Pelodiscus sinensis: one gene and its partners. The protein of the gene in region 1 purifies or fractionates together with the protein of each later gene. This does not show direct contact. Links are inferred from orthologs where the notes say so. Each region holds a gene or a part of one and is shown in the gene's direction. Other genes may lie near its edges.

Region 1 (7,064 bases):
GTTACAGAGACGAAACCTGCTTCATCATATATATAGTAGCCCAGTGTCTGTGTCTGTAACACCGAAATGCTGGCTGTTCCCTCTGGACAGTGCTGTTGCCTGAAATGCTAGCTGTTCCCTCTGGACGGTGCTGTTGCCTGAAATGCTGGCTGTTCCCTCTGGGCAGCCCGTGCTGCATGGGAAGTGTGGGGCCCAAATGGCCGCTTGCGCCACTTGCTCCCCCGCAGCAGCCCAGCTAAGCGGCGCAGAAGTCAACCAAGTGCCATGGTGGGAGGTGAAGGGGGAGCGGGGCAGGGACGTGCAGTGTGACAGCGGTTCCAGGCCCTGCCCTCTGGCCGTGAACGTCACCACCCCACCCCCTTTCGCCTCCCGCTGTGGTGCTCAGCTGACTTCTGCACTGCTCAGCCAGGCCACCGCATGGGAGCAAGCAGCGCAAGCGACTGTTTGGGCTCCGCACACCCCATGCAGCATGGGGAGCAAGTAGCCCAAACGGCCATTTGGGCTTTGCGGTCCACCGAGTGAGAGGCGGGAGGGGGAGAAGAAGTGAAAGAGAGAGACAGAGAGAGAGGCAGGAGGAGGGGAGAGAGACAGAGAGAGAGGGAGACTGGAGGCTCAGGAGAGAAGATCGACGTGGAGGAGAGACCTGAAAATCCCGTCTTATGACGGGCTAATTGGCTAGTTATAAATATAGGTCCAACTGTATGTCGCTATCTGCCTGTGTCTTTTTTCATTTACTTTCACTGTAAATTCTTTGGGGCTGGGACTATCTTTATGTTCTATGTTTGTACACACCTAGCACAATGAGATCTGAGTCTGTGATGAAATGCTACAATAATAAATGAATAAATAATAATCATTGCAATTTCTTTCAGTATAAACAAATCTAACTTCAATAAATGTACAATATTGTGTGGACTCAGTCATACAATTCCCACTGAAGTCAAGGGGGAATCTTTTCACTGACTGTGCTGAGGGCTGGAATGGACCTATATGAACAGGCTATAAAATAATTTTCCAGTGTCTAGTTGTTTTAAAATTTTGCTATTCTTGAGGGTTGATTTTCTCCTTAAAAATGCTTTTTTTATAACCTTAGCTCCTAATGACTTTTGTCTGGGAGTTTTATCAAGACTGACCTGGCATCTGTGTCAGGATATAATATAAAAAGTGTGTAGGATATAAATGTTTACATATACATTTAATTTTTAATCATAAACTAGTAGCAAAATGTAACTGATGTTTCAACCATCTTGTCTGGTCCATATATCCTGTAGATGTACAAGTTAGAGCACTTCCTGCTCCTCAAGAAATAAGTTTCCCATATTTCAACTACCTGGGTAGCTTCCCATATAACTGCAAGACCATGGTGGATCCCTATCACTATATAATGTACTGCATATTCCTCTCTCCTCTGCCATAACAAACCTTATCTAGGTCTGAGCAATAATATGCCATAAAGGCCCAGTAGAGGTCACTGTAAACATACCCACCTTCACTTGGCAGACACTAGTCTTGAGGATTACTATCAAAACTAGAGGCAGTTTGGGTAACAGCAGTCAAACCACTGAGACAAATGAATCAAGTTATCAGAGAAGCTACTCTGTTTTGGGGAGATCAAAGCATCTGACTTCATATGATTTGTCTTTATGATTAAGTAATGTGATGCTGTGCTCCTAAGGTACTATAGTCTACAAAACCTAAACTGCTGCTTGCTGAAGAGTATGTTTTTCAGGGAATGAAATGGCCGTGAAAGCTTGGCACTTGCATTCCCATTGGTTAAGAAGTGGGTTGGCCCTGGTGTGACCTTCCATCCTTTTGCTGCAGTGCTACCCACATTTTTTTAACTTTGACTACACTAACAGAAACGTATAGCGAGTAAATCTAAACGCTGGTGCATTGTAAAAAGTCTTTCTGTTGGGAGAGTAATTTTTAAAAGTAACTCAGGTTATGTCCACACAGCAGCATTATTTTGGAATAACTGATGTTTTTCTGAAATAACACAGTGCACGTCTACACTACTAGCCTTTATTTCAAAATAATGTCGAGCTGGAGGACTTCTTACTCTGACTCATGGTAACCCTCATTTCATGAGAAGTAAGGGAAGTCAAAGGAAGAATGTTCCTCCTTTGATTTCCTGAGGTGTAGACAGCACCTCGAGTCAAGTTATGCTATTTCGACTTAAGCTATGCAATTGATGTAGCTGAAGTTGAATAGCTTGATTTGACTTTAGCTCTGCTGTGTAGACGTATCCTCAGTGTTTACTGCTGACAACTGCAAGCATTGAATGCATGGAAGGCATTGGAGAGCCCACCGATTTAAAGTTTAATTTCAATTTGGCCCCAATAAAGCATTTGTTGCAGAATTCTTATGATATTTTATTCCTCTGATTGCCACAGTATCAAGGGCAAGAACTGTATCCACCAATCAATCAAACAATAAATAAAATCTTTACTGTTCGTACAGCATAGGCTTCCAGTTAATGAGAAAGGTATGGATTAGTTAAATTACACTTCACTTAGAAAGAAAATGTTTTAACCAAAAAGGGGAAAATGCATGAAAATTTCATGACCCTGAAATTTTCAAAAAAATAATTGTGGAGCTTTTATGAATTCTTTCAAAGGGCACAACTGTGTTTTTCCAAGCAATGATTCCTATTTCTTTTTATAAGAAAGTCCAGAAATATTGCAGCTGGCCTGAAAAAAATTGGACCATCTGCCCTCTTTCTCCTTTGCCTCTGTCTTTGGATTTTCTCATAACTTTTTTTCTCTCAATGGCTACATTGCCAGAAGAGGAAGACAAGAAAATTTCTCAGACATTATTACTCAGTGTGGTTGCAGGAAAAAAATTCTTCATGGGAAATCCCCCAATGTCTGAGAAGAAAAAGTAAAATTCAGCAGGAATCCCAGTCCCCAGGTTAGCGTGCAGAATCCACAGGATGGCCTAGATGTATTTTTAATCAATCTAGGTGCTTTCAATATTTCACTTGATCTTTATCAGTGAATGTCATCATACCCAATAGGAATTATCAGAGAGGGATATCTAGATAATGGGTAACAATAAACAGCATGCCATTGGCAAAAAGAGAAACTTTTTCTGGTGAGAAGAAAAAATGTTAACTTAAATATGTAAATTTTGGGAAGGGGGAAAAAAGTGAATTAATCTTTGATAGGTACTGTCTCAGTTGGAGTGGGAAGGGAAACCTGCTGTATGTGCTTGATCCTACACAGGAGAAGTTAATGGGAGATTTACCATTGACTTCAATGGAAGCAGGAGAAAGCCCTATGCAGAGCAAGCTTTACTCTTAAAAGTAGTCGTTTTATGAGGCTACATTTATGGAAATTGGGGCTTCTGAATAGTTAAAAGGTTGTTAGTTCCAAACTCATCTGAGGTTTAAGATGTATTTAGTGTGGCTGCTATTGACTACCAATGCTAGTTCTTACATTTAAATAGTGCCTTGCACCACAGGGTATTACAAAATTAGCAAACTGACAGATGGGGGGCTGGTGTGAAATACAGCACAGCGGGACACTGTGGGAATACAGCATCCAGCTGCAACCCCAGGGGCTTTTAGAGAAGCAGCACAGGAGCTGTGATGTGGCCAAGACAACCCTGGTCTTTGCACAAAAAAGTGGCATCTTCATGACTCCAAGTGGTAGTAGGGGGGACACTGCTTGTGTGCCTCTCAGGCAGGCAGTGGCAGGAGTGACGGCATTGGCATCTCCCCTGTGGTGCCGTTTTAGCCTTGGAGAACCTGTGAGTACAGAGTCCCAGGGAGACCAGGGGAAGGGAAACCCCAGGATGGGAAAAAGCCAACTCCAGGGGCACGGCAGGGAAGTACCTGGGGAAGGGGGTTAGTCACAGAGCTGTACCAAGTACTTTCCCTCTTGTGAAAAAGGGGGTGGGGGAAAGCGAAGAGGGGCGGGTCAGTCATGGGGATTCCTTCGCTGCGAGTCTCGCCTGGGCTTTTATGTAACGCCTCCCGCAGCCAGGCGCAGGCTAGTTCTTGCTGTTTGACTGGCCTGGAAATTCCCAGCCAGCGGCTCCTCCCCCTCGCAGAAATCCCCTCAGCAGAGGGCGTATATCCAGCGCCACCGCGCGCCGCCGCTCTCACTCTGACGCCCGGAGCCGCTTGGTGAAAGATCCACAGGGGGGGACCTATTGCTGCGCCTGCCCGTCCTGTGCTAGCGGCGGCCCAGCCATGTTGCACCCCAGCTGCATTGCGGATGGCCAGCGGGAGCTGGCGATGGAGAGCCGCGAGCCACTGAAGAAGGAGCGGCAGCTCGGCTTGCTGCAGGACGACCGGCACGACAGCGGGCTGGACTCCATGAAGGAGGAGGAGTACGCGCTGCTGGTGAAGGAGCTGCGGGACATCCGGCTCCAGCCCCAGGAGGAGCGGGGGGCGCCGCACGCGCCGGCCCAGCCTTGGCAACAGCAAGTGACCGAAGAGGGAGACACGTAAGTGTGTGTCCTGCGCCGGCTGCACGGAGACCCCCGCGCGGGGCGCTGCGAGACCCGGGGGCCGCGGGCGGGCGCATTTGAAACGACGATTGCTTTTAGATAAGCGATAGTGGGTTCTACTCAGAACCTAGCTGAGCCCTGCTGGGGGGCGGGGGGGCGCTGCGGGCAGCGCCAGGCGCCGTAGGGCTGCGGAGTCCAGCGCTGGCCGCCCGCCAGCCGTGCCGGGAGGGGATGTACAGAGTGTGCTGGCGGGGCGGGGCGGGGCCGGCGCGGCGCCCGGCTGGGCGGAGGGGGAAGGTGCGGTGGAAAGTCCCTGGCGCGCCGCCAGGAACACAGCTCATAACAACCCCGCGGAAAACACCAGGCCGCGGCCTCTGAAAACCCCAGGCTTGCGAAAGCCGCCTGCAGCCTGTGCACGTGACTGCCGGGGCATTGCCCGGGGCTGGCCTGCTGATCCCGTGAGCTCACGTCCTCCCCTGGCTCATCGTTCCCGGACCGACTTTGAGGGGTTGTTTCTTTTTTCCCCCCTCTTGCAGATTTCTCCACTTGGCAATTATTCACGAAGAAAAGGCCTTGAGCGTGGAAGTCATTCGGCAGGCAGCTGGTGATCCTGCCTTCCTGAACTTTCAGAATAACCTGAACCAGGTATTTTAAGCCATCTGCCTTCTTGCTTAAACGAGCCAGGTTGCCTGACGCCCTTGGTGATTTCAGTAACTGTGTCATGCAAAATTGTACATTCGGTTGATATTTAATCAGCTGAGCCCCTCTCCCTCCAAGACACAAGATTGCCATTGTCCACAGATAAACTTCTGTTTGTGTACAATCAACATTTGAAACGACACTGGCATTTGAAACGATGGATTGCTTTTAGATAAGCTGTAGTGGGTTCTACTCATCCATTATTTCCATGAAAAATACACCCTTAATTTGTACTGGCCCTCTGCGGTCAAGGGAGCTTTAAATCAGTCACTTCCAAATTAAAAGAGAACTGAAGAAGTCGAGCTAGAGCTGCTAGAATCACCAAGTGGTTGAAGGGTTATATACTCAGTTGCTGTCTCTAACATTTCCTGTTTGTCATGTACCTTATACTAGTTTGTTTTCTTTTTTTATTATAGACACCACTTCACCTGGCAGTAATCACAGAGCAGGCTGAAATTGCTGAGTCTCTTCTCAAGGCCGGTTGTGATCCAGAAATCAGAGATTTCCGAGGAAACACACCACTTCATATTGCCTGTGACCAGGGGTCTCTCAGAGCTGTCAGCGTCCTTACTCAATACTGCCAGCAGCACCACCTATGTTCAGTCCTGCAGTCAGCTAACTACAATGGTATGCATGAAATTCTTAGCAGCTAGTGTTTTTGTGACATGAATTTCAGAGTTTTATGAAGATGGGAGGCTGAGGCCTAGCTGTAAAATGATTTCCCTGAAATCACACTGCAGTCAGTGCTGGAGCTCGGAATAAGTCTCAGCTCCCTTGACTGCAAGTGCTTAACTCTGGTTTTCACACTCTTCAACTTTACACTTTGATTTTTAGATAACACTGTTTAGATATTTTTTTAAAATTGTAGACATTTTACATGTTTCTGTTTCTACTTTGTTAAAACAAGTTCCGGTGTACCACTGGGTGGAAAAAAGGCACTGCGTTTAAAAAATAACGGTGCCTTAGACACAGTACAACGATGATTAGAGAAATTTAAAAGTTCATGTAGAACATTTTACATTCAGTTTAGATAATGGTGATTGTATTTCAAACTCAAAATATGATAGTGTGTTAGGGGTGTTAGAAAGTGACTAATAATGCATTAAAGTAGAAGTACTTAATTTGTACCTATGTTCTTGTTTTACAGGACACACGTGTCTCCATTTGGCATCTATTCAAGGGTATCTGGCTATAGTAGAATATTTGCTGTCCTTGGGAGCAGATGTCAATGCTCAGGTGTGTATTTGAAGCTCTTTGTTTATCCAAACATGATAATGCTGGAATAGGAATATCCAGTTTTTGTAGTGCCAAGCCTAACTATCCTGTTTTATTTTTACTTACCAGGAGCCTTGTAATGGCAGAACTGCCCTGCACTTAGCTGTAGATCTGCAGAATTCAGAACTGGTGTCACTTCTAGTAAAACATGGGGCTGATGTGAACAAAGTGACCTACCAGGGCTATTCTCCATACCAGCTGACATGGGGAAGAGAGAGCTGCAGGATACAGGAACAGCTAAAGCACTTAACCATGGCTGACCTACAAATGCTACCAGAAAGTGAGGATGAGGAGAGCTGTGAATCAGAATCAGAATTCATGGAGGATGAAGTAAGTAATTATTTTCACCCTTTTATAAGGAAGGACTAAATTTTGCCCTTATAAGCATCTATATGCTCCTATTAAAATTGTCAGAGAAATGTGCCCATAATTCTTAGGTGTTATTTCCTGATGTTTTGATGGCATATTGGATGGCCTGTTGACTGTATTAGATATATTTCATCTACACACTCAAAATAAACTAAAAATATAAATTAGTAAGCATTAGGAGTGCAATATAAGGTCTAAGCATTGGACACCTAAAGCCAGAGGTGAAAGTAAGCTGGTGTACCCCAGTGTACCACTTGCGCAAGGAG
Region 2 (7,333 bases), on another chromosome or scaffold:
AGAAGGGGTTTAAAAGGATCTGACATCTCTCAGAAGAGATCTGAGCACTAGGCTACAGAGTCATTTTAACTCCTTCCCTGGCTCTTTGTGACTAGCCTGGTGCCTTATAGTGGAGGACCACCAATCTTAAGCTGTAAGTAGCCTTGTCTCTAAGCAATTTTCCCGGATTTGTCCCTTTCAGCAGTGCCCAAGAAACCACCTTTATTAGGAGGAGAAAGGGACAGGTGGGCCCTGGGTCGCTGGGCATCTGGGGGGACTAGCAGGTGGCCTGGTGCCCACAGTGGGACTCCATCCCTGCCACACTCACCAGCAGTGGTAGGGCAAGCAGAGCAGTGTGGCCCCAGCTTGATCTGCTCACCTGGCTGCATTGCTTGGGGAGGTGGGACTGCCCCGGCACTTGCTGTCAGAAAGTGGAGCAATGTGGCTGGGAGAGCCAAATGAACTAGAGCCACATTGCTCTGCTTGCCCTGCCGCAATTGCAGGGGGGGTTCAGAACCACAGCCCCACTAGTCCCCAGATCACATTGCTCAGGGAAGAGGAATAGACAAGTGGAGGTGTAACCCACACACCTAGGCTGTGTCTACACTGGGCCACTTATTCCGGAAAATCAGCCGCTTTTCCGGAATAAGCTGTGAGCTGTCTACACTGGCCCCTTGAATTTCCGGAAAAGCAGTGACGATTTACTGTAAGAAATCAGCTGCTTTTCCGGAAAAACTATGCTGCTCCCGCTCTGGCAAAAGTCCCTTTTCCAGAAAACTGTTCTGGAAAAGAGCCAGTGTAGACAGCACAGTAGTCTTTTCCGCAAAAAAGCCCTGATCGCGAAAATGGCGATCGGGGCTTTTTTCCGGAAAAGTGCATCTACATTGGCCACGGACGCTTTTCCGGAAAAAGGGCTTTTCCGGAAAAGCATCTTGCCAATGTAGACGCTCTTTTTCTGGAAATACTTATAACGGAAAACTGTTCCGTTTTAAGCATTTCCGGAAAATCATGCCAGTGTAGACGTAGCCTTAGGCTACATCTATACTGGCAGCTTCTTGTGGAGGAACAGCTGTTCTTCCACAAAAACTTGCCGGCTGTCTACACAGCATGAGCGTTCTTCCAGAAGTAAATTTACAGTATAATACTGTAAAACAGGGCTTCTTCCAGAAGAGTTATTCCTCTCCCCACGAGGAATAAGCCCTCTTGCGCAAGAGCTCTTCCAGAAGTGGCCAGTGTAGACAGGCAACATGAATTTCTTGCGCATGAAGCCACTATGGTTAAAATGGCCATCAGAGCTTTCTTGCGCAAGAGAACGTCTACACTGGAATGGATGCTCTTCCGCAAAAGAGTTCTTGCGCAAGAAGCTGCCAGTGTAGACGTAGCCAAGTTGTTCACTGTCCCATCCGGTGGCATCTAGACCACAGCAACCGATAAGAACAAGATACTTCTCCAACATGGGCTGAGAGTCAGCTGTCTTTTAGCTCAGAGGGCAGAGGCTCCTGTACAGTACTAAGTTTCAGAGGTCCTAGATTCAGATTTGCCTGGTGGTGGTTACAGAGGTAGAGCAAGGGTAGGAGAGGACAGGAAGAGACAGGACCTAGGCTGGAGAGGGGTGGCCTAGCCCTTCCGCAGCTGGGGAACGGGGGTCAAGTGACAAGTGGCCCTCCACATCCCCCTTTACCAGTCACCCCTGCCTGCCCAGTCACTGCAGCTATTCCTAAAGCAGTAGGGGTGTTTGGAACTGCTTCCAAGGCTACGTCTACACTGCAGGCTTTTTGCACAAGAAGGCTGTTCTTGCGCAAAAACTTGCAGAGCGACTACACTGCACGCACGTTCTTGTGCAAGTAAATTTACAGTACAGCATTGGAAAACAGGGCTTCTTCCGGAAGAGTTATTCCTCTCCCCACCAGGAATAAGCCCTCTTGAACAAGAGCTCTTCCACAAGAAGGTAGTGTAGACAGGCAACATGAATTTCTTGCACAAGAAACCCCTATGGCTAAAATGGCCATCAGAGCTTTCTTGCACAAGACAGCGTCCACACTGCCATCGACACTCTTGTGCAAAAGCACGTGGCAGCATGGACACGCTCTTGTGGAAGACCTTTTGCACAGTTCTTGCAGAAGAAGCCTGCAGTGTAGATGTAGCCCAGGAGAATACACCCAGGGCCCAGCACATCAACGGCAGATTTCCTCTGCCTTGTTACAGTGCAGTGCATGCAGCAACACACCTGCCGTACATTCCTGGCCCAATGTTCCCTGGGTTTCAGTGGGTTCCAGCTGGGGGGACATTCTGGGCAGGCATGAGATGCTGCCATTCTTAACTCTGCATTAATTAAGTTTGGGACAGTGAATTTTCAGAGGGGTTGAACACCCAGAGCTCTGGCCACCCGGTGGCTTCAGCTGCTCAACGCCTCCAAAAATCAGACCCAAGAGGTTTCAAGAGGGGCTCCTAAAACCCGAGATGCCAAATCCAGCACCACGTGTTGCCTAAGGAGGTGGAGCAGCCCAGTTGTGCTAATTGAAATCACATGAGCCACTCCTGGCCCTCCTCTCCCTCCATTTTGCACCTGCTCTTGTTTGAACAGAAATTAATTCCAGGGGGTTACATTAACTTTGTGATGCAGGTCAGACAGTGGATCCTTCCAGGCATAGACCCTAGTCCCATGTTGTGCCTTGTTCTGGGTGGTAATCAATGACTCTGGACTGGGACTGTGTCTTCTGTGTGCCCACCACTGTCTACCCCCATGTTCTCTAATGCTTTCATAGCATGGGCCATGTTTTTATCCAGTCTCCCAGGGGGCTGGCCCACCCTGCTATAGCCCATCCAGTGACTGTGTGTAGTTCGGGATTACTCTACCAGAAAAGGTGACAATGAGTCCTGTGGCACCTTATAGACTAACAATGTATTAGAGCATAAGCTTTCATGGGCAAAGACCCACTTCATCAGATGCATGTAGTGGAAATTTCCAGAGGCAGGTATATTCCGCTACTAGAAAAGGAATGATAGGCAAGGACCTGCATATTTTTAGCTTCTTTTAATGTAAGATTGTAGCAGCTGGAAACAAAAGAAGTTGTGGAAGAACTAGGGATGTCAACGTGTAGTCGACTACACAATTAACCGATAAGCCTGGACTTGGTTAATCCTATTAACTACGCGCGCGTGCACACACACACACACCCTTGCTACTTCTGTAGCAAGGGAAGTGGGAGAAGCTGCCACCTCCACCCTCGGGGACTATCAAATAATTGTGTAGCCGCTAAGCTTTGAATTATACGATCATTCAGTTAGTTGATATCTTAACATCCCTAGGAAGAATTACGTCACCTGCCACCTTCCCTGGCCCAACTGTGCCACCATGGATATCCTTAGGATTTAAGGGGCCTTACACAGTATTATGAAATTGGTGCCCCTATGCTCAATGGCAGCCAGGGCGGGGATGATATTTTAGAGTCATGATTTTATAATCTTCAGCAACACACCAATGAAATATTTGAAACTAACGTCATATACACTAATACAGTAAATTCAGAAACATCATGGACCTGGTGTTGGCAAATGCCCTTAAATAGCATCATTACCACTTGATTGGCTCTTTCACAGGCTTTGTGTCTGCTAAGGCAGGTTTTCCCACTTTTGAGTTAACTAGATACTCTCTGGAGGAAGCAGAGCCTTAGAGCAGGGATAGGGAGAAATGGCAGAGTGGACTCTAAGGCCCAGTGGTCCCCCAAGTTTTCCAGTGCCCTATGCAGCTGTGTATACGGGTAGGAATAGCACAGCGTGCCGCCCTCCACCTCCTCCCCTAGCTGAACCCTGCCACCAACTACCTCCCTTGGCTTAGCTGCAAGTGCTAAACTAACAACTTGCTCCTGTACAGGAATCAGGTACCTAGGTAAGCCAGTGAAAGGAGGGAGGCTGGGCTGGGCCCTTCCTTTAACACACCCAGGACAATGAGATCAGACCAGCACGGCAGGGACTGAGACACAAGGCTAGCTCTGGGTGCTCGCCCCCCTCCGCTGACCGACCCCTCCAGGTCCCGGCCCCACCTGTCTGTCCCTGCTGCCCAAGATGCGCTCTGCTTAGTAGCAGCTGAGCTGGAGTCTGGGGCAGAGCTCTGCGGTGCTGGGCCCTCCCCTGCCTCTGCAGGTGCCTGGGAGCCCCAGGACGATGCTGAGGCGGGAGGGCGACCCGAGCGTGACGGCCCCGGGGCCGGTCCCAGCCGGCGGGGTCACGGCAGGGCACCGGACGGCCCGCGGCGCCCCAGACTCGCTGGAGAGGGCCGCCCACGCTGCGCCCTGCGCTGGAGCCCCGCCCCCTTCCCAGCGCGGGGCTTTCCCGTTCCACGGCGGGTGAGCTCACTCGGGCCTGCAGCCAATGAGGCGGCGGCCGGCCGAGCTGGGGAATTCCAGAGCCGTCGCCTCCTCCGCGGACTGCGGCTTTGGGGGAGCCAGCCCAGCACGGGGAGCCGAGCGCCGGGCCCCGCCATGCGGGACACCAGGGGACGGCAGCCGCGGCCGGAGGAGCTGGCTCTCCCGCGGGGTGAGGGGGCGGCGCTGCGGCCGGGGGGCGCTCCGGGCCGCCTGCCAGCGGTGGGCAGGGTCAGTGAGGAGGCCCGGGGGGACCCGTTAGGCCTGGGGCAGTGGCCCTGTGGGAGCGAGCGGGCGGCCCGGGGCATGCGGAAGCCGCGGGGGCGGTGCCGGAGGCTGGCGCTTAAGACCGCGACGGTAACTTTGTGGTCCCGCGCCGCCTCTCTCGTGTGAGCCTCGGGAACCTACAATCGCAGCCCGGTGCCGCCAGGCTGGCTCGGCTCCTCCGCCTAGTGCCCTGGACCCGTCCCCGTCCCCGTCCCCGGGCGCTGCCTCTTTGCGTCGGTGCTTGGCTGGGACTTTGGGGAAGTCTCTCCTTGCTGTCCAACCGCGGGGAGGAAGAGTGTTGTCTCCTGGGCCAGGGACTTGTGGGACTCAAGTTTTCTGGGATCTCCTTGAGCACCTGGCTGAGCCACCTGCTGATTTCCCTGCCAGGTGCTGTCCTGAGATGCAAAGGGGGGCGGGGCACAAGGCAGGTGGCTGATGGGGTAACGGTGTATCCTGTCTTTTTAGGTGCTGCCGTTCCAGATCCGGGCCTGGCCATGGCACATACCACGCAGGTCTCCAGTAAGGGAGCTGTGATCTCAGCTGAAGGTAATTCCCTCCCCCTTATAGCTAATAACACTTCTGCCTTGGCTAGCGCTCTCCATGGTCCGAGAATGGTACAGAAATGAGAGAATGAATCTATCCACCATTGCCCCCACTTTACAGATGAGTAAACTGAGGGACAGAACGAGTTCAGGCCATGGGGGAGCGGATGGTAGAGTGAGTTAGTACCCAGGAGTCCAGGCTCCTGGACCTGTGCACATTTATGCCAGCTTTACAAACTCCCAATCCCATACCTGCACTCTCCTTCCACCTGGCCTCAATTGAGCCTATCTGTGGCTCCAGACAACTGATTCTGTGGGTGCTCTTCTGCCACAGGCCCCACCCTGATCTCCCAAGGGGACTTGTGGAAAACACACATTTCAGTCGGCCCTGCATTTCTATCCTGGTACCACTACAGTAGGGCTGTGCTTTCAGGATTGTCCCTTGTGCAGTGCACTGGCTAAAGGAGTAGTTCTGCAGCCCAGCATGGTAGCTTCCACCCCCTAGTCTTCTCCTCAGCACTTGCTGCTCTGCTCTCTGCCTGCTGGGGGAACAGGCAACTCTTGCTGACTAAAGGTTCAGTTTGCACCTGTGTAACCCACACACCTGCTGAGCATGGTGCTCTGTCCCATGGAGTGGCACTGAGACCACTTACAGAGAGAAAGAATGAGCTTGCTCTACAGCCTTAGCTGAGTTTTAGTTCCTGTGGTAGAGACTCATGCACTTAGCTTCAAAGGTCCCTGCTTTGGGCCCACTGGAGGGTGTCACACTTGCACTGCAGGCCCAGTGGTGCCAGCAGTCCCACAGGGTTCAAACTGCCATGTTGTTCCTATCTCTTAGGGATGTAAAAGAGTAGTCAAGTCATATTCCCTCCCCCCTTACTACTTCTGTATCAGAGGCAGCAAGTGTGTGTGTGTGTGTGTGTGTGTGTGTGTAAGGTGGGGAAGTAGGACCAGGTGCTGGGGAGAGCTGGCTTAAAAGCTGGCTACCCCCGGCACAGTCTCCCAGTGCGATTCTCTGCCTCCGTTAGAGATAGCAGCACAAGGGCTGCTGCTGGAGCAGCCTCCATCTGTGGGGGATCCCAGTGAGACTTAGGATCCCCCCCAGACAGGAGCTGCTTCACTGCAGCAGCTTGTTGGGGGGAGAGTGGGGGAACAGGGCAGGGGTGTCCCCACTCCCCACTAGGACTGCCCTGCGGATGGGGTGTCTAGACCCGGCACAAGCCAGGACTGCTCAGTTGTGGTTTGCGCTGAGACCCAGGACCTACCCCGCTGCAGCTCTGCATTTTAAACGTAACAGGAGCCAGTCTTCCTGCGTGCCCGGTTCCTATTACATTTCAATTGCAGAGCCGCAGCAGGGGTAGCTCCTGGAGCACTCTCCCATATCGACTAATCATGTAGTCGATACGAATTGTATCGACTACACAGTTAGCCAATTGCCTGCCTCTTAACATCCTTAATCTCCCTCATGCCACGTGAAGTAGGAGCAGCCACCGCTGTAGAGCTCACCACGGTATCTTCAGCTGAGTGGGTAGCCACTTTTACCTGGCCCCTCTGGCATGAGGGAGGGGCTGGTTTGAGACGTCAACATTTAAGCATCTGCATTAGAAAAGCTCATGCTTTCTTTTTCCTTTACAGATCAATTAGGTGAGTGGACAATGGGCAGTGGGGGTACAGTGACCTCAGGTACGTACAAGTGCTCTAGGCCGGTGGCAGGCATGTGGCCCATTGGGGTTCTAGGTGTGGCTCACAAGAAATTTTGTTTAGTGTTGCCCCCGGTTCTGCAGGTTTTCATCTGTGCAGTTTTTTCCTACTTGTATTACCCTAGTGACACGCACAAGCCAGGGCACATGAAGTGAGGTCCATGCTGAATGCACACAACACGGACTATAAACGAAGCATGCTCCCTCTGCATTTAAAGCGCTGCTACAGTTCCAGCAGCACCTTCTGCAAATTCTAGGTATGCCAGCACAGTTAGCGAAGCTACCCTATCCCGAGAGACCAGCTTGGTTACAACCATCTTGTGGCCCATTCACTAGCCTGGGTTGCCCATGGTTGCTCTGCAGTAAAGGGGAGAGGTAACATGCAAGCGTGGCAAGGCAAACCCTGCTATCATTCCCCTGCGCCCTCTCCTTGAAGCCCAATTCCAGGGCTTTAGCATTGGACCCAAAGAGCAGGTAAGGG
Region 3 (7,908 bases), on another chromosome or scaffold:
TATTAAAAGTTTCTAGAAAGGGGGGTAAGTGGCTTGGGTGAAGAGCTTATGACGCAACGGAACTATCTTTATAAGCCTACCTGTCACTAGAATCGGGGCTGCTTCTCTTTGGAGACGGGCCGCTCTCTATTGTTGTGTGCACTCTTCAATAAAGAGCTTGTGATTGGACTTTGCTGGTGTTGCCTGTCTCTTTGCGGTCAGACAACGAACCGAGTCATCTGGGCTAGAGTCCCTGACATCGGTAACTGGAAAAACTTAAAAAACGATCATCTAGCAGCACCTTAAAAAGACTAACAAAACATGTAGACGGTATCATGAGCTTTTGTGGGTACAACCCACTTCTTCAGATGACTGGAGTATTAAAAGCCCAGATCCAAGAATAAATAAGGGAAGGCGGAGGGACAGGAAGGCGGAGGGAAAAAGGGGAAAAAAAGAGAAAATAAAGTAGTGAATTAGATCAAGTTACAAGAGGCTAATTGCTCTTATCAGCCTCGTGTAACTTGAACAATCTAATTCACTACTTTTTTTTATTTATTTTTCTTTCTCCTCCTCCTTTTCCTCCACCCTCCCTCTCACCGCCCCCCCCCCCCCCCCCCCCCCCCCCCCCCCCCCCCCCCCCACACACACACCTTCCCTTTTTTATTCTTGGATCTGGACTTTTAATACTCCAGCCATCTGAAGAAGTGGGTTGAACCCACGAAAGCTCAGATGCCAGCTACATGTTTTGTTAGTCTTTTTAAGGTGCTGCTAGACTATTCGTTGTTTTAGGAGAGTAAGTTTCCTTTTTTTCTGCAGCACAGTAGTAAAGGGAGGAAAAGGGCCCAAATAAAGGAGCATTTGAAAACTTGGAGTTGGGGGGGAGAGCTGCCGCCAAGGCATTTACATTTTGGCTTTGGCCTACGTAAGACATGAAGACCCCGTGTAAAGACACAATGGCCATTTCAAACCTAAGCTCTACATGCTCTAGAAGAGCTTGGCTCTAGAACCAAGCTCTGGGGCCTGAGCCACAAGCTCGCATGTGCAAACGCTCCATGATGCAGGTTGCTAAGGCTACGGGGTGATGGAGCAGGCCTGGGCCTTGGCAGCTGCAGAGCTTGCTCCACCAGCTGGAGGACTTGCTGAGGAGGGGATGGGTCAGGCTGAGGCAGCAAGGAGAGGCTGTCAGCGGATAGGAAGCCAGTCAATAGCTTCTGGGAGAGAGGAATCCCATGGAGGCCCTGGATTGTGGGTGTGTCCAGACCATGGGCCCACGGGTGTGATTCCTTTTCTGGGGCGACATGTAGGGGGGCATGAGGGTCATGTGCCCCAAAGCTATGGGTGCGAGAGACAAGGAGCTGGTCAGCACTTGAGGCAGAGCAGCAGGGGGCCTGTTCCTGGAGCAGGGCTCTGCCCTCACCCCCGGACTCAATGGCAGTAGGGGGAAGTGGAGCAAAGTGGACCTAGCTCGCTCTGCTCCTCCAGTTGTCCATCAGAGAGGGACGAGACGGCCCCCGCGCTCGCTCTTGGGAAGAGGCAACGTGGCCGGAGGAGCACAGCGAGCCGGGGCCATATTGCTCCACTTCCCCCAGTGCGGGGGGGGGGGGAGAACCCTGCTGCTGGCGTTGCCCCCAGCCAAGCTATTCCCCCAGAGCCGCCTCGACTGAAGGAAGAGGTGGGGCGGAGGCAGAGCAAAGGCCAGGAAGAGGCAGGGAGAGGGTGGAGCAAGAGTCAGAAGGGGGTGAAGCTTGGGTGAGGAGAGGCAGGGCTTGGAACAATGGGGGGTTGTCCCAGTCCTTCCCCAGGCTGCGGGGGGAGGTGTCACATGAACAGTGGACCCTGGATTCCCCTTCACTGCTCGCCCCGTCTTTTTCCCCTCCCATTCCCCCTGACAAAGGGGAATCGTTGGGCGCTGGGGTGGGGGCGGGGAAGCTGTTTTTCTGAGTGGCTGAGACAGCTTCAGCAGCCCTCCATGAGTGTCTGACCATGCCCCAAAATGAGGGGAGACAAGGAGAGGTAGGAAGTGACCAAGGGGAGGCTGGTCTGTGAGACCCTCCTTCCACCTTGGGTGCTGGGCTGGGACCTATTGGAGAGGGAGGGCCAAGGTCTCCCTCCGGCCTTTGTCTGACCGGGGGAACCTGGAGAAGGACAGACTGTAACTTGGCCACCAGCCCCTCGGATTGCCTGATAAGCCCACCCCAGGATTTGGGGGACTGCTGAGCCCTGGCCGGCCCACTAGGCCTGCTGGTCCCTAAGTGAACCCTGCCCTATCCTTATCTGGAGCGAGATGGCTTCCAGGGCTTCGTGATTGGTTTAATGTTGTTGGGCATCTGCTGCCTTGTGAACCCACACACGGTGGCATTGGGGTCAGTGGAGGGACCCTGTTGAGTGGAGAAGTTGAGGCCCTGTTTGCATTCTGGAAGTGACCTCAGGCAGGTCGTTCGGGGCCTGGGCGCTTTTGAGGTCTAGTGCTATTCTAGGCAGTCCAGTGGGGTGAGAACGTGTGACTGTGCAGACAAGCTCAGCAAACTGTTAGCAGGTTTCGCATCAAAGGGTTTTAGTTGTTGCTGGGCTCTGGGTCTAAGGACAAAGACCTGAATTTGTCCCTCCTACACACAGTGTCAGAGCTCCTTCTGCATGGCGTGGGATTTGACCATCTATTTGTGCATGAGAGCCAGGAGCAGGGCTCCATCTCCCATCATGCATCAGGGCCAGGGACTCCCATGATGCAGTGCCAAGAAGAGAGACTGAGGTGCACCATGGGAAATGTAGTCTGACCTAGGAAACTGAACTATGGGGGTTTCCCAGCCTAAAATGCCTTGGTACTAAAGTTGGGGCAGAAAATACAAATCTTCTGTGGGAAGAGAACCCCAATCTCCTGGAGCCGAGGAGAGTAAAGCTCAGGAGATCTGAATAGCTTCATCATCTGCCTCAGAAATGGAAATTGCCTCCTGCTGTCTCCTGCCTAGGGGAAGGATCAAGTGCCCCTTCCACCCCCAAACCCTCTGATTTTAGCTAACCACTTAGTTACACAAATAGGCCTTTATTCACCGGAGAGCAGCCCTTCATGCTGTACTAGCAGTTTTCATACCACACGCACACGCACAGTGGCGTGCCTCTGCTCTCTTCTTCTTGAAGTGAGCGCTAGAACGCCAGTGACATCACCAGAGAGAATCCAGAGGGGACAAACGGCACAAGCAATGAGATTTTCAAGTACACAGAATTACGCAATGGAGACAATCTCTAAGGCATCGTCCCCTGCTTCCTTCACCCTAGCTGGTGCTTCACGGTGGAGAAGTTTGTGTGAGGTGCATGTCCTGAAATAAATGGCAGCCTGTCTCCTCCATTCTTCTTCTTCGTTTCTCTAGCCCTTTCACTCTGCACATCATAGAGGGCGACCAGGAGTTGTGGATCCCATCCTCTGCCACAGCCTCCTTGTGTGACCTTTGTCAAGTCACTGGCTCTCTGCACCTGGGGTCGCCAGCTACACAATGAGGACATTTCCTTCCTGCTGCCCTTTTGGGTTGTCAGTTCTCAGTGGAAAGGGACAATGTATTTGTGTGAGCCCAGAGGTATCTTGTTCTGAGCGACTATAATCCCAGGTGATGGATACAGGGAGCTCATTTTTGCATCTCTTGAGGCAGCCATCTGATTTGAAGACAACCTGGATGCGGTAAGTGGGGACACGGAGCATCTTCTCCCTCTCTCTGTCTCTCTCTGGCCAGTTCTTGTTGCTGTGCTCAGGGTCTCATTTGTAGCCCTGGGTGGGGTCTGGAAGGAACATGGCCACAGATCTTTGGGGTGTTTTTTTTTCTCATTCCTCTGCAGCTTGTGGGAGCAGGTCACCCGCTACATCACCTGGGTAAATCTCAGTGAGTCATTTCCCCACCACTGCAGGGTGCTTGGGCTTTGGTGTCTTGTGTTCTCTGCCTGCGGCATGGCCCAGTCTCCTGTGGGCTGCAGTCCCTTTGTCTGATGTGGGTGGCTACTGGGCGGCGATACACAGAAGGTCGGACTGGGTGGCTTAGTGGTTCCCCCTCCTCTTTTCCACTGACTCGCAAAGGCATACTGAGCTTGTTCTGGTCAGAAGTGGGCCATCGTGCATCACTGCAGTTTGGAGCTTATCTAACGGACTCATGTGGCTGCATCCACACTCACCAGTCCGTGCTCCCCCCTCGGCCTCCCCAGACCACGAAACAGCTGGGCGTAGTCAGTGAACAAACTGACACCATGGCCGGCTGCTCTCACTGGAAGGGGACGTGACAGGAGTACATTCCAGTGTGGCTCCAGGGAATCTCTGTGCTGCAGCCGAACTAGACCTCAGTGCTGGTTACTGTTAGAATCATAGAATCATAGGACTTGGAAGAGACCTCAGATGGTCATCAAGTCCAGCTTCCTGCCCAAAGCAGGACCAATCCCAACTCAATCAACCCAGCCAGAGATTTGTCAAGCCGGGACTTAAAAACCTCTCGGGATGGAGATTCCACCCCCTCGGGATTCCATCCCAGTGCTTCCCCACCCTCCTAGGGAAATAGTTTCCCCCAATATCCAACCTAGATCTCCCCCACTGAACTTCGCTAAGCACTGAGAGGCCGTGTTCTGCGCTGTCCATGATCCACTCCAGAGGTGGCTGCATTTCAGCTGCAGGGGAGCAATTCCAGTCCCTCTTGTCTGTGAAGCCCTTGCATGCATTGTGCTGGAGGGGTTAATAAGAGGCGGATGGGGGGGCAGTGCAGGGGTGAGACCGGCTGTACGTTGTCCTGCAAGCCAAGCCAATGGCCTGGGATGGTTTCTGCCCAAATCCAGCTGTTTGGCACCAGGAAGAGAAGGGTCACAGAGCGTTTCCAGGAAACGCAAACTCCCCTGCCTGGAGAGCTGCGGCATGGCCAGCTCCCCTGCGTGCACACACTCCGCGGTTCACAGGCCACGGGCAGAGCCAGCCCCCTGCTCTCACGCAGCTCTGGGCAGCCGGAGGGAGATGATGCTGATGCTGATTTCCTGAGCCTGTTACCACACGGGCTGCAGCAGCTGTGCGCGGCTCAGTCCTGAGCTGTGCACGCCTGGAGTAGGAGGCGGTGTTGCTCGGAGCCCGGCGAGGGTGGATCTCTCTCCACGGAGGCAGGAGGGGAAGCTGTCAATGGGAGAGATGGAGCAGCCGTGTCTGCGAGCTACAACCCTCTAAGGGATCCTCTGCGTGTGTGTGTGTGTGTCTCCCTGTGCCTGGGATTTGCGCCTGTGCCCTTCATCTCATGGCTGCGTTGACATCCGTGCACCACCGCTGGGTTTATTCCAGGCTGTGATCTCTACGCACAAAAGCACTTCAGGGCCGGACGGCCACACGCCCAGCAGTCTTGTTGTTATTAAGACACGGAGCCAGGCGACAGCCCGGTGGAGCTCTCTGCATCGTCTGCAGCCGGGGTCTGCGCGCTGGTGCGGTGAGAGCGCGAGTAAGCAATTCCTGCCAGGAGACGACCGCTTCCTCTGGCTCCACATTAACAGCTAGTAATTTTCCACGCCTCTCTGATCCTTCCCTGGCAAGTGGCTGGAAGGGTGGCCTGGGCCATGGGAGACAAAGGAACCAGGTGGGTGAATGTATTTTTTTTTACATGCGGGTTATTCAGCTGCAGACGGTGATGCTTGCGCGTGTGTTATTCGCCTGTTTCCTGGACTGTAGCTGCCCCGGCAGATCCGCCTGCTGGATCCCGGCGTTTTCCCATGTACCGGGAGATGTTTGGGTTTGGAGGGTGAGGGGACTTGTTTTGTGAGCAGAGCAGCAAGGCGGCGTGTGGCGCTGAACGGCCCAGCAGAGCGAACGCAGACTCCAAGCCGTCCGCTCTCGACCGAATGCCCATGAATAGCCCATTTCCAGGGCTCCTCTAGCATCTGCCGCTCACCAGCGTGTGTCGCTTTGTTCGGCCGGAGCGCCGCAGCTCCAGCCTTTGGCAGATGCTACAAGGCGGGCTTGAAAACCCGGACTTTCCCCAGGCGGCGGAAGGGGGGTTTCTCCCTGGCCTGATCCCCCCCAAGAAGCGTTGGCTGGAGAGGCGGCCTTTTTGCAGGGCGCCCGGGTTGCTCGCGGGGGTTGTGGACGCGCTGGGTCGGTGGCGGGGTGGTCCCGTGGCTGGGGGGCGAGCGGCATTTTCGCTTTGCCTGGACCCGCTCCAGGGCAGCGTGGGCTGCTGAGGGCTCCTGCTGTGCCTCGGTTTCCTTTCGGAGCCAAGCCCCCGCCGGCGGGTAGCCCAGGGGAGCAGGGCGGGCTTCCCGTTGGGTCAGGGGTCGCGCAGCTGCTGGCTAGGGGCTGTGGAAATCGGTTCCGTGAATCACCCGCTTGGCTTGGCCGGGACCCGAAGCAAAGAGGATCCAGGGCTGGTGCCGGGCCACGTTTAGATCCCACGAAATGGCCCAGTTACCGCGGGCAGATGCGCACGGCGGGGTCCCTGCAATTGTCTGGGGCGAAGGCTGGGCGACTGCAGGGCGTGGAGAGGGGCTTTGCCGTCTCCTCTGGGGGGGCTCAGGGCTGCACCGTAGCAGGGTCCCTTCAGGGCAGGGGGGTTAGTGGGAGTGTTAGCTCGCCCCACTCCCAGTTCATGTGAGACGCAGCCTGGCCCGCTGGGCAGAGCAGGGGCGAGCGATGACTCTCCTACAGTAGCATGTGCAGCATTCGCTGGCCTGGCAGTCTCTGTCCGGCGCTGCCCCCCAGGAGGCGAGTACTACTCCTTCGCAAGTGGGGAAACTGAGGCACGGCCGTGCAGTGACTTGCTGCCCGGCGAGTCAGCGCTTTGGTTAGCACGCAGGAGGCCTGGCGCTCAGTCCTGAGCTGAGGGCTTGGCTGGCCAAGCCTCACTCTCGGAGGGGCAGCTCAGATCTCCTCCAGCCCTAGGTTCTGAGTTTTGGGGAGGAGGGGGGAGGTTCCTATTGCAGGGGAGGGATGTGAGCTTTGGGCCCTGCAGTGGGTGTGTGGAGAGTCTCGCAGGGACAGTTATCAGCCCCGGGAAACTCGGACTGCTCTGCTGCTCCCCACTCCATCCCCGAGGCTCCTGGGTGCGGGTGTCAACATCCCCTCCCAGAGCTGGCCCCCCTCCTCCTCCTCAAGCAAGGATGGTCTGATGGCTAGGACGATGGTGTAGGAGTTAGGAGCTGTTAGTTCAATTCATGGCTTTACGGCAGACTCCCTATGTGACTTTGGGTACTGCCCACTCTGTGCCTCAGTTTCCCCACATGCAAAATGTAGATAAGAATCCTCCCTCCCCCCACCCTTGTCTATATACATGGTGAGCTCTATAATAAGGACTGCCTCTTACTATGTGTGTATACAATGGGGTCCTCACCCCTGAGTGCATAGGTTTTAGGAGCTAGGGCAACCAGAAAATGTGGGTACTCTTTCCCTCAGTGGATCATTCTAAATACATACAGTTTGATTCACCCATAGCTAAAAGGCCTTTTATTTATATCTGAAATGCAGCCACTTCTGGGTTGGGATGTGGCAGCTGATTAACAGCTCACAACAACACTGCCCAGCAGTGTGGGAAAAGAAGAAAACTATCAAATCTTGTGAAAGAGGGCCCTTGGATCAGGCGGACACCCCCTCAAGCCAGGTTGGGAGCATGGGTTGAGCACAGACTCAGGAGGGAGAGAGGAGCAGCACTGTGCTCTGATAATGGAGAAGTGAACTGTAAAACATGCATGGCTCTCTCCTCTGGTGACTGTCCCAAAGACAGGAGAAGGGTCTGAATAGCTTAAAAATCTGGCCCTGCTACCATCATCAGCTACGCAAACTAGACGCACTTTGTGGCACACTGCATAGGCATGCTTGTTGGGGTTTTTAATGGATTTATTCTTTGGATTTTTGTTGCTAACTCTCCCTCAAATTTATTTTCACAATTTCTAACCCCGGGCCCGCCTGTCTTGGGAGTGCAGCTCAGCAGCATTTCC
Region 4 (7,628 bases), on another chromosome or scaffold:
ACTCAGGGGTTTTAGCACCGGCTCCCCACTGCTTCCCCCCCCAGGGGCAGCCGGCGCTCGGGGAGCGTGGTGGCTCGCTGACTCTCTGTGGGGCTGGAGCATGAATACCAGGGAAGCCCCAGGCCTTGGGGGCCAGATCAAGCCAAGCCACGGCCCGTAGGTTCCCCATCCCGGCTGTAAAGTGTCCCTAAGGGTATGTCCCAGGTTCACCCTGAAGATTCCCTCTGAAGTCCACCGGAGTCAGTGTCTGCCGGGAACCGCATGCCAGCTGGGGGAGTCCCTCTGTGCCGGCTGAGCGACAGGAGCTCTCCAGCTACCTTCCAGCCCTTCGCTCCCAGTGTCTGCGCAGGGCTGTGGCTTCCTGCCTGCAGCAAGCCCCTTGCTCGCCCAGGCCCAGCAGACGACGGGAGGCCGGTGCTTCCTAGAGGTGCTCCGAGTGGCGTTCAGCCTGGGCTCTGCTGCCTGGGGAGCCGACGGAAGCCCGTCCTGGCAGGCCAAGGGCTGGTTTGGCTGGAGCACAGGCAGTCGCCTTGGCTTCTCCCCAAGGAGAGCCTCTTGCAGTGAGCCGCAGGACGGCCCTGAGTCCGTGCTAGGCTAGCATGCTGGTCCAGGCTCCTGCAGCAGCTGCATCCTTTGGTCCTCGCACCCTGGTCCTGCAGGGAATGCTCCCAGGGAGCACACCTTGCGGAGGAGTGCAGAACAGGGAGCCTTCCCTGTCCCCTGGAAAACGCTGAGCACCGTTGTTCCGGGTGCCCAGGTGGGATCCTGCGGGGTCTGCCATGCTCCAGGACTTGCTGTTTGTCCTCCAAAGGGATCAGGCAATAACTGAGTCGAGGGTCAGCTTGGTGAACCTCCTGGGTAGATGGGGAGGTTACAAATACAGCAGGATGCTGGCAAATAAGAAATTAACTGAGCGCGACAAGCCGTCCAGGAAAGAGCAGTGGGGAGGAGGAGCTGGGTGCAGAGAGAGGAGAGGGTTCACCAGCTATAGCACAGGGTGGGTGCTCATGGGGCGTAGGCCTGCGTCCCCGGTCTCTGCGCCCCCGAAACACCGCGCTCTCACAGCAGACATCGTGTGCCCGGGCTGTGCTCCCCGCCCGCTGGGAGGAGGATCAGCTACGTGAGTCAGCATGTGGAGATGCTGCGGCAAAAATAGTACCTGTGATACTGGGTTGTATTGGTAGGCACGGCGAGCGTGAAATGTCAGCGGGCAGGTGGAAGGGGAGGTACCTACAGACAGTGTGTCTGGGGAACTGAGACCGGGGGCAGAAGATGGCCCATCAGGCACCGGCTGGAAAAGGATGCTGCTTAGGCTGTGTATCCTGCTATGGTTTTGTAGCCTCTTCTGTCCTGAAGGAATCCACGTGCTTACACAGGCTGCCTTGCTGAAATGCAGCTGCTTCTGGGGTGTAGCTCGGCTGCCCTGCACTTGCTTTCTCTGGAATAGCAGGTCTCAGTCTCTGGCATGTCTTCCTGGGCCCAAGGGATCTAGCCGAGCCTGAAGGGCCAGAGGAGACAGGCAACAGCTCAGCTCTCCTGGCACAGTGCAACTCTGTGCGGGAGCCAGGCTTTTCCAGAGACTGTGGAACAAACTCCCTCAGGCACTAAGGCCCATCCCAGACCCCGGTGTGCTGCTTTGCTCCCCTGCTCTAACATGGGAGTAGACGATGAGAAAATGTTCCAGAAGAACACTCTACGGGCACAGCCGCATGCCAGGCGTCCATCCTGGCCCTGGCTGCATTGCTAGGAGACTCTCTGTGGATTAAAACACCGGCTGGGGGAAATCCATTTCGCCCAAGGACATCGGGGCCTCCCACCCATGATCCTTCATGTCAACGCCAGGCTGCCTGGTCCCAAAGGCTCTGTGTTACGATGGGCTGGCCTGGATCTACCTTGTGCCCAAGGCGAGGGGCTAGGATATGCCGCCCGTGCTCTGTGGCCTTTGTGAGCTGCCGTGCGGCAGTGGTGGAGTCCCAGGGTTGCTTTGTGATGGGGTCTGCCAGGAGCCAAATAGCCCTGGTCCTCCTCAGAGTCCTCCTCGCATCCCCAGGGGTTCCTCCCGGGCGCCCCTCCCCGCTCACAGCATCTCTTCCTAGTGTCTCCGTGCCGGCAAGGTGGCTGGTTGGCAGAGCACGTAGTCCCGCTGCCCCCGGCCACGCATGCAGGGCAGCCCCTGGCTAGACTTTGAGCGGAGGGAAAATCTCCTTGAGAATTTTTTCCTCCCTTTGACTTCTGCAGAAAATGAGTCACTGCCTGTGCAATCCCCGTCCTACCCCTCGCTCTCCCCCACGCACCCAAAATCCCCACGGTGGGGCCTGCCGGCAGCCAGTGATTCATGGTGTGAGAGTGCCGAAGAGTGGGAACCGGGCCGCTGCCGCGGCCGGGGGAGAAGCCAATCTGGACAGGGACCGGGGGCTGCGCTGAGGTCCTGCCCTACCAGGTCCTGCCATTCGCAGCCCGGGGACAGGACTGGAGCCCTGTGGCTGGCAGGGGCTGAACGGGCCGTGGAGGCCCAGCCTGGGGAGGGGAGAGTCACTGGCACCAGCTGCCGCATCAGTCCGAGGCTTAGATCCAGGGCCTCAGTCCCTGTGCGCCAAGGCTGGCCTGGAGGCGACCTGTTCGGAGTCTCTCCCCTCCAGCTGCCCTGTTCTGTGGCCAGGGGGCTGGGTGCCTCACTGGGCAACCCCCATTCTGCTGCCATCTCTGGGGCGAGGTGGAAAGTGCTGCTCTCAGCCGGGCGGGCAGGGAGGGTCTGTGCCTGGTCCCGGGGGAGGGAGTGGCTGGCATTGGGGGGTATCGCTCGGCCCCCCGGGAATGGGGAGAGATGAGCAGGACCTGCCTTGGAAGAGGACTGGGGCTGAGGGACGGTCTCCGTGCTTGGGGGGCAGAGGATGGGGCCGTGGGCAGGTGGCCATGGAGCAAGGCTGCTTTTCTGTGCCCCTTAGCTCTGAGCACAGAGGATGTTGTATTATGCGAAGCAGCAGGCTTGGGGGTGGAGGAGGGGGCTGGGATGCTCTGGCTCAGAGGCAGTTGCATATACACACAGCAGGTCTAGCCGTCTGGTGTTGCGTTACCTCGCCAAGGTTTCTGTGTCCTTGGAGGAGCATCAGAAGGGGTTAATCCCTGTTGCCTTTCATAGCCAAGGATCCCTAAACACTTGGCCTCTGAAATGCGGCCACCTCTGGGGTGGAGCCAGAGGCCCACCTGCTGGAACGCCGCATGCCAGCAGGAGGGAGGCCGGGGCAAACCCATGACGCTAGAGGCTGGACCGTGGAATCTCCGGCCCAGCCTGGTGCTGGAATAGCGACTCAGAGCAGAAGCGAGAGTCGGCAGTGGGGAAAGCAAGCGGCCTGCCGGAGTTTCCGGCCCAGGGCAGGGCCAACCCCAGCTCTGCCTCTCCGCTGCGCCCTCCTAGTGACTGACTGATTGTGAATCTCTGGGCCTGGAGGTGAAAACTCCCTCTGTGTTTCAGAAGGGCAGGAAATGATTTGCATAGCTCGCCTAGCCCCGCCCCGGGGTCACCCACAGCCAGCCCTGGCATTGCTGGGAGTCGGCTGTGCTTCTGGCTGAGGGGCTTGTGGGGCTCCCAGCCTGGCAGTGACAAGGGAGGGTCCATGCATGGGGGGATGTGCGCAGAGAAGTCGGTATTCCGCACCGGCCTGCGGCTAAGGTAGGGGGGCACCAGGCGGGCAGGGGAGTCGGTGTGTGAACCGCGGGGTGAGTGGGGGGGGCTTGGCGAAGGGTGCGCTGGGGCCAGGGGGCTTGTGTGTTGCAGGGTCAGTGTGTCTGCTGTAGGGCAGCTGGGGGTGTAGGAAGGCTGGGGGCAGTGGGGGGGCTTTTCTGGCTATGGAGGGGAGTGAGTGGAGTGCTGCGGGGTGCCCGCAAATCAGGCAGCGGGGTGCCGGGGAGAGCGGTGCTATGGGGCAGGATGGGCAGGAGGGGTCTGGGGGGAGCGGTGCTATGGGGCAGGATGGGCAGGAGGGGTCTGGGGGGAGCAGTGCTATGGGGCAGGATGGGCAGGAGGGGTCTGGGGGGAGCGGTGCTATGGGGCAGGATGGGCAGGAGGGGTCTGGGGGGGGCGGTGCTATGGGGCAGGATGGGCGGGCGGATCCGGGGGGGCGGTGCTATGGGGTAGGATGGGCGGGGGAATCCTGGGGGGGCGCTGCTATGGGGCAGGATGGGTGGGGGAATCCTGGGGGAGCGGTGCTATGGGGCAGGATGGGCGGGGGGGCGGTGCTATGGGGCAGGATGGACGGGGGGATCCGTGGGGGCGGTGCTATGGGGCAGGATGGGCGGAGGGATCCGGGGGGGGGGGCGGTGCTATGGGGCAGGATGGGCGGGGGGGCGGTGCTATGGGGCAGGAGAGGTCTGGGGGGGGCGGTGCTATGGGGCAGGATGGACGGGGGGATCCGGGGGGGCGGTGCTATGGGGCAGGATGGGCGGGGGGATCGGGGGGGCGGTGCTATGGGGCAGGATGGGCGGGGGGATCGGGGGGGCGGTGCTATGGGGCAGGATGGGCGGGGGGATCGGGGGGGCGGTGCTATGGGGCAGGATGGACGGGGGGATCCGGGGGGGCGGTGCTATGGGGCAGGATGGGCGGGGGGATCCGGGGGGGCGGTGCTATGGGGCAGGATGGGCGGGGGGATCGGGGGGGCGGTGCAGGGCGCCGGGGTCAGGCCAGGTGGCGGCGGGGGGCGGGGCCAGGCGGCGGGGGCGGGGCCGGGGGCGGGGCCAGTGACGCGCGGGCCCGTCATTTCCAGCCCCGGGCTGGGTTTCTAGGGACTTTCCGGGCGGCCCGGCCCCAACTTTCCTCCCCCCCCAGGCCCGGCCCCGCCCCCGCCGCGCAGCCCGGCCCCGCCATGGACGAGCCCTACAACGCGGTGAGACCCGGCGGGGGGGCCGGTGGGTGCGGGGCTCGGGCCCCCCCTCGCTGTGCCGGGCGGGGGGAAGGATGGGGGGGGCCGGTGGGTGCGGGGCTCGGGCCCCCCCTCGCTGTGCCGGGCGGGGGAAGGATGGGGGGGCCGGTCGGTGCGGGGCTCGGGCCCCCCCTCGCTGTGCTGGGCGGGGGAAGGATGGGGGGGGCCGGTGGGTGCGGGGCTCGGGCCCCCCCTCGCGGTGCCGGGCGGGGGGAAGGATGGGGGGCCCGGTCGGTGTGGGGCTCGGGCCCCCCCTCGCTGTGCCGGGCGGGGGGAAGGATGGGGGGCCCGGTCGGTGCGGGGCTCGGGCCCCCCCTCGCTGTGCCGGGCGGGGGGAAGGATGGGGGGCCCGGTCGGTGTGGGGCTCGGGCCCCCCCTCGCTGTGCCGGGCGGGGGGAAGGATGGGGGGCCCGGTCGGTGTGGGGCTCGGGCCCCCCCTCGCTGTGCCGGGCGGGGGGAAGGATGGGGGGGCCGGTCGGTGCGGGGCTCGGGACCCCTCGCTGTGCTGGGCGGGGGAAGGATGGGGGGGCTGGTCGGTGCGGGGCTCGGGCCCCCCCTCGCTGTGCCGGGCGGGGGGAAGGATGGGGGGGCCGGTCGGTGCGGGGCTCGGGCCCCCCCTCGCTGTGCTGGGCGGGGGAAGGATGGGGGGCGGTCGGTGTGGGGCTCGGGACCCCCCTCGCTGTGCCGGGCGGGGGAAGGGATCGGGGGGCCGGTCGGTGCGGGGCTCGGGCCCCCCCTCGCTGTGCTGGGCGGGGGAAGGATGGGGGGCGGTCGGTGTGGGGCTCGGGACCCCTCGCTGTGCCGGGCGGGGTGTCAGGCTCCCCCTGTCCCGCAGTGCCTGGACGGGATGGACTACGACGACTTCCAGTTCAGCTCCCGCCTGATGGAGCAGAAGGAGCCGCTGATGGAGACGGGTGAGGGTCTGGCTGCGCGGGGGGGGGGTCAGGGAGCTGCCTGGCTCCAGGCCGAGGGGAATTCCCAGGCAGGCCCGGATCCCGGGAGTGAGAATTCCCGCTCAGCCGTGGGGAGCCTGGCTGGGCTGGTGATCAGTCCGCAGGGCCTGTCCCGCCCATTGGATCGCAGGGCTCCGGTGAGTGGGGGGGCCTGATCCATCTCCTTCCGCCTCAGCCCCCCCCCGTGCTGCTTCCCGGAGCACGCTCACCCCAGGGGCACTGTGGGGCCCCTCCCTGGCTCTGCTGCAGGGGGAGCGTGATCTGACTTCACCTCCAGCACTGACCCTGCCTCCTCCTCTCTCCTCTGCCCCCGTCAGCGGGTTTCCAGCCGTCGGCCCCGCGTGCAGGTGGGCGCGCTTCACTCGGTGTCTTTCCTTTCTCCTCCGCAGCCGAAGGGCCCTATCTCATCATCATCGAGCAGCCCAAGCAGGTGAGGACTCTGCGGGTAGCCGCCCCGCCCCCCCGCAGCTCCCGCCCCGCCCCCCCGCAGCTCCTGCCCCGCCCCCCGCACACGGCTGCTCCCGCCCCGCTCGTGGCTGCTCCCGCCCCGCAGCTCCCGCCTGCCAAAGCTGGGGTGACAGTAGCTGTAAGGTCCCCTGGCCAAGGCTCTCAACCTGTGCCCCCCGCAGTAGGGAAGGGGCGTAGGCGGTCGGTGTGGGCCTTTTTCCCAGTGGGGTGGGGCCCGGGGCCCTGGCTCTACCAGGCTGTGACTGGGGTTCTGGTTTGGCAGCGTGGGTTCCGGTTCCGGTACGGCTGTGAAGGCCCCTCGCACGGCGGGCTGCCTGGCGCATCCAGCGAGAAGGGACGCAAGACTTACCCTACTGTCAAGGTGAGTGCCAGGCAAGCTGTGCGGCGCGGCGCTGAGGTCCGGGGGTTCCCCGCAGCACCCCGTGTGCCCATGCAGGGAGACTGCTCCGGGGCCGGAGGTGGGAGGTGAACCTCCAGGGAAAGAAAGCTGGGATAAGACTGGCCCCTGTGCTGAGGGGCTTGCGAGGGTTTGGGGAGAAGGGGAATGCGACCCCGGGGGAGCCAGCAGTACAGGTTGCAGGCCCGTGCCCTCCCTCCTCTCCCCCGCAGCCAGGGAGGGCCGCTCACTCCCCCTTCTCCCGCCAGATCTGCAACTACAGTGGCGTGGCGCGCATTGAGGTGGATCTGGTGACGCACAGCGACCCGCCGCGGGTGCACGCCCACAGCCTGGTGGGGAAGCAGTGCAACGAGGCTGGGAATTGCATCGTGACCGTGGGCCCCAAGGACATGACGGCACAGTACGGACCGGGGGCTGGGGCAGGCCTGTGTGGGTACCGGGCGGTGGCCGGGTCGCTGTCGCGTCAGTTACACTGGTGCTGGGCAGGCACAGCTGCTGCCCTCAGCAAGCCCCTGCCGAGATCCCTCTGGCTGGTAGCTGGGCATCCTCTGCGGGGACAGACACGTATTCCCGGGGCTTCTCTTCTCCACCTCGGCCCCAGGAGCCCCCTTCCCAATGCCTCACCCGCACGGAACGGGCGCATCCGCTGACGGGCGTGGGAGACTCCCTGGCAAGCCTGTGCTCTTGCCGGGGCAGGCTGTAGCGCCGGGGGGGCCTGGAACGGGTGAGCTAATGTGCGAGAACCCCCCAGGGCGCTGCTCCTGGGAGAGCAGCAGGCGAACCCCGGGGGGCTCGTGGCTCTCCTGTACCGCGGGACGGGGCTGTGGGGGGCTCTCCTGGTCTCTTGCCCTAGTCGCGTGGTTGGCGACAGGCTGCCTGTCTGAGCCTGCGCCC

Evidence for each region.
Region 2: the proteins of NFKBIA (region 1) and RELB purify together in Homo sapiens (affinity purification with mass spectrometry; 4 studies listed by BioGRID and IntAct, counting the BioPlex papers as one, with this or other methods). This does not show direct contact. The link is inferred for Pelodiscus sinensis from reciprocal best matches to the Homo sapiens genes NFKBIA and RELB.
Region 3: the proteins of NFKBIA (region 1) and beta-arrestin-1 purify together in Homo sapiens (affinity purification with western blotting; 3 studies listed by BioGRID and IntAct, with this or other methods). This does not show direct contact. The link is inferred for Pelodiscus sinensis from reciprocal best matches to the Homo sapiens genes NFKBIA and ARRB1.
Region 4: the proteins of NFKBIA (region 1) and NFKB2 purify together in Homo sapiens (affinity purification with mass spectrometry; 6 studies listed by BioGRID and IntAct, counting the BioPlex papers as one, with this or other methods). This does not show direct contact. The link is inferred for Pelodiscus sinensis from reciprocal best matches to the Homo sapiens genes NFKBIA and NFKB2.

The regions. Positions count from the first base shown.
Region 1 is NC_134714.1:48,030,171-48,037,234, forward strand, and holds the start of NFKBIA (NF-kappa-B inhibitor alpha), read left to right. Parts: upstream 1-4,053; 5' UTR 4,054-4,195; coding exon 4,196-4,452; intron 4,453-4,991; coding exon 4,992-5,100; intron 5,101-5,570; coding exon 5,571-5,781; intron 5,782-6,301; coding exon 6,302-6,390; intron 6,391-6,498; coding exon 6,499-6,759; intron 6,760-7,064. UniProt on the Homo sapiens protein: Inhibits the activity of dimeric NF-kappa-B/REL complexes by trapping REL (RELA/p65 and NFKB1/p50) dimers in the cytoplasm by masking their nuclear localization signals.
Region 2 is NC_134743.1:2,217,985-2,225,317, forward strand, and holds the start of RELB (transcription factor RelB), read left to right. Parts: upstream 1-4,331; 5' UTR 4,332-4,460; coding exon 4,461-4,515; exon of another isoform or gene 4,516-4,574; intron 4,575-4,731; exon of another isoform or gene 4,732-4,997; intron 4,998-5,075; coding exon 5,076-5,156; intron 5,157-6,787; coding exon 6,788-6,835; intron 6,836-7,333.
Region 3 is NC_134711.1:324,012,220-324,020,127, reverse strand, and holds the start of beta-arrestin-1, read left to right. Parts: upstream 1-4,897; 5' UTR 4,898-5,538; coding exon of another isoform or gene 5,539-5,558; intron 5,559-7,908. UniProt on the Homo sapiens protein: Functions in regulating agonist-mediated G-protein coupled receptor (GPCR) signaling by mediating both receptor desensitization and resensitization processes.
Region 4 is NC_134718.1:2,691,765-2,699,392, forward strand, and holds the start of NFKB2 (nuclear factor NF-kappa-B p100 subunit), read left to right. Parts: upstream 1-4,613; 5' UTR 4,614-4,622; coding exon 4,623-4,880; intron 4,881-5,751; coding exon 5,752-5,830; intron 5,831-6,186; coding exon of another isoform or gene 6,187-6,258; coding exon 6,259-6,299; intron 6,300-6,599; coding exon 6,600-6,698; intron 6,699-6,982; coding exon 6,983-7,134; intron 7,135-7,628. UniProt on the Homo sapiens protein: NF-kappa-B is a pleiotropic transcription factor present in almost all cell types and is the endpoint of a series of signal transduction events that are initiated by a vast array of stimuli related to many biological processes such as inflammation, immunity, differentiation, cell growth, tumorigenesis and apoptosis.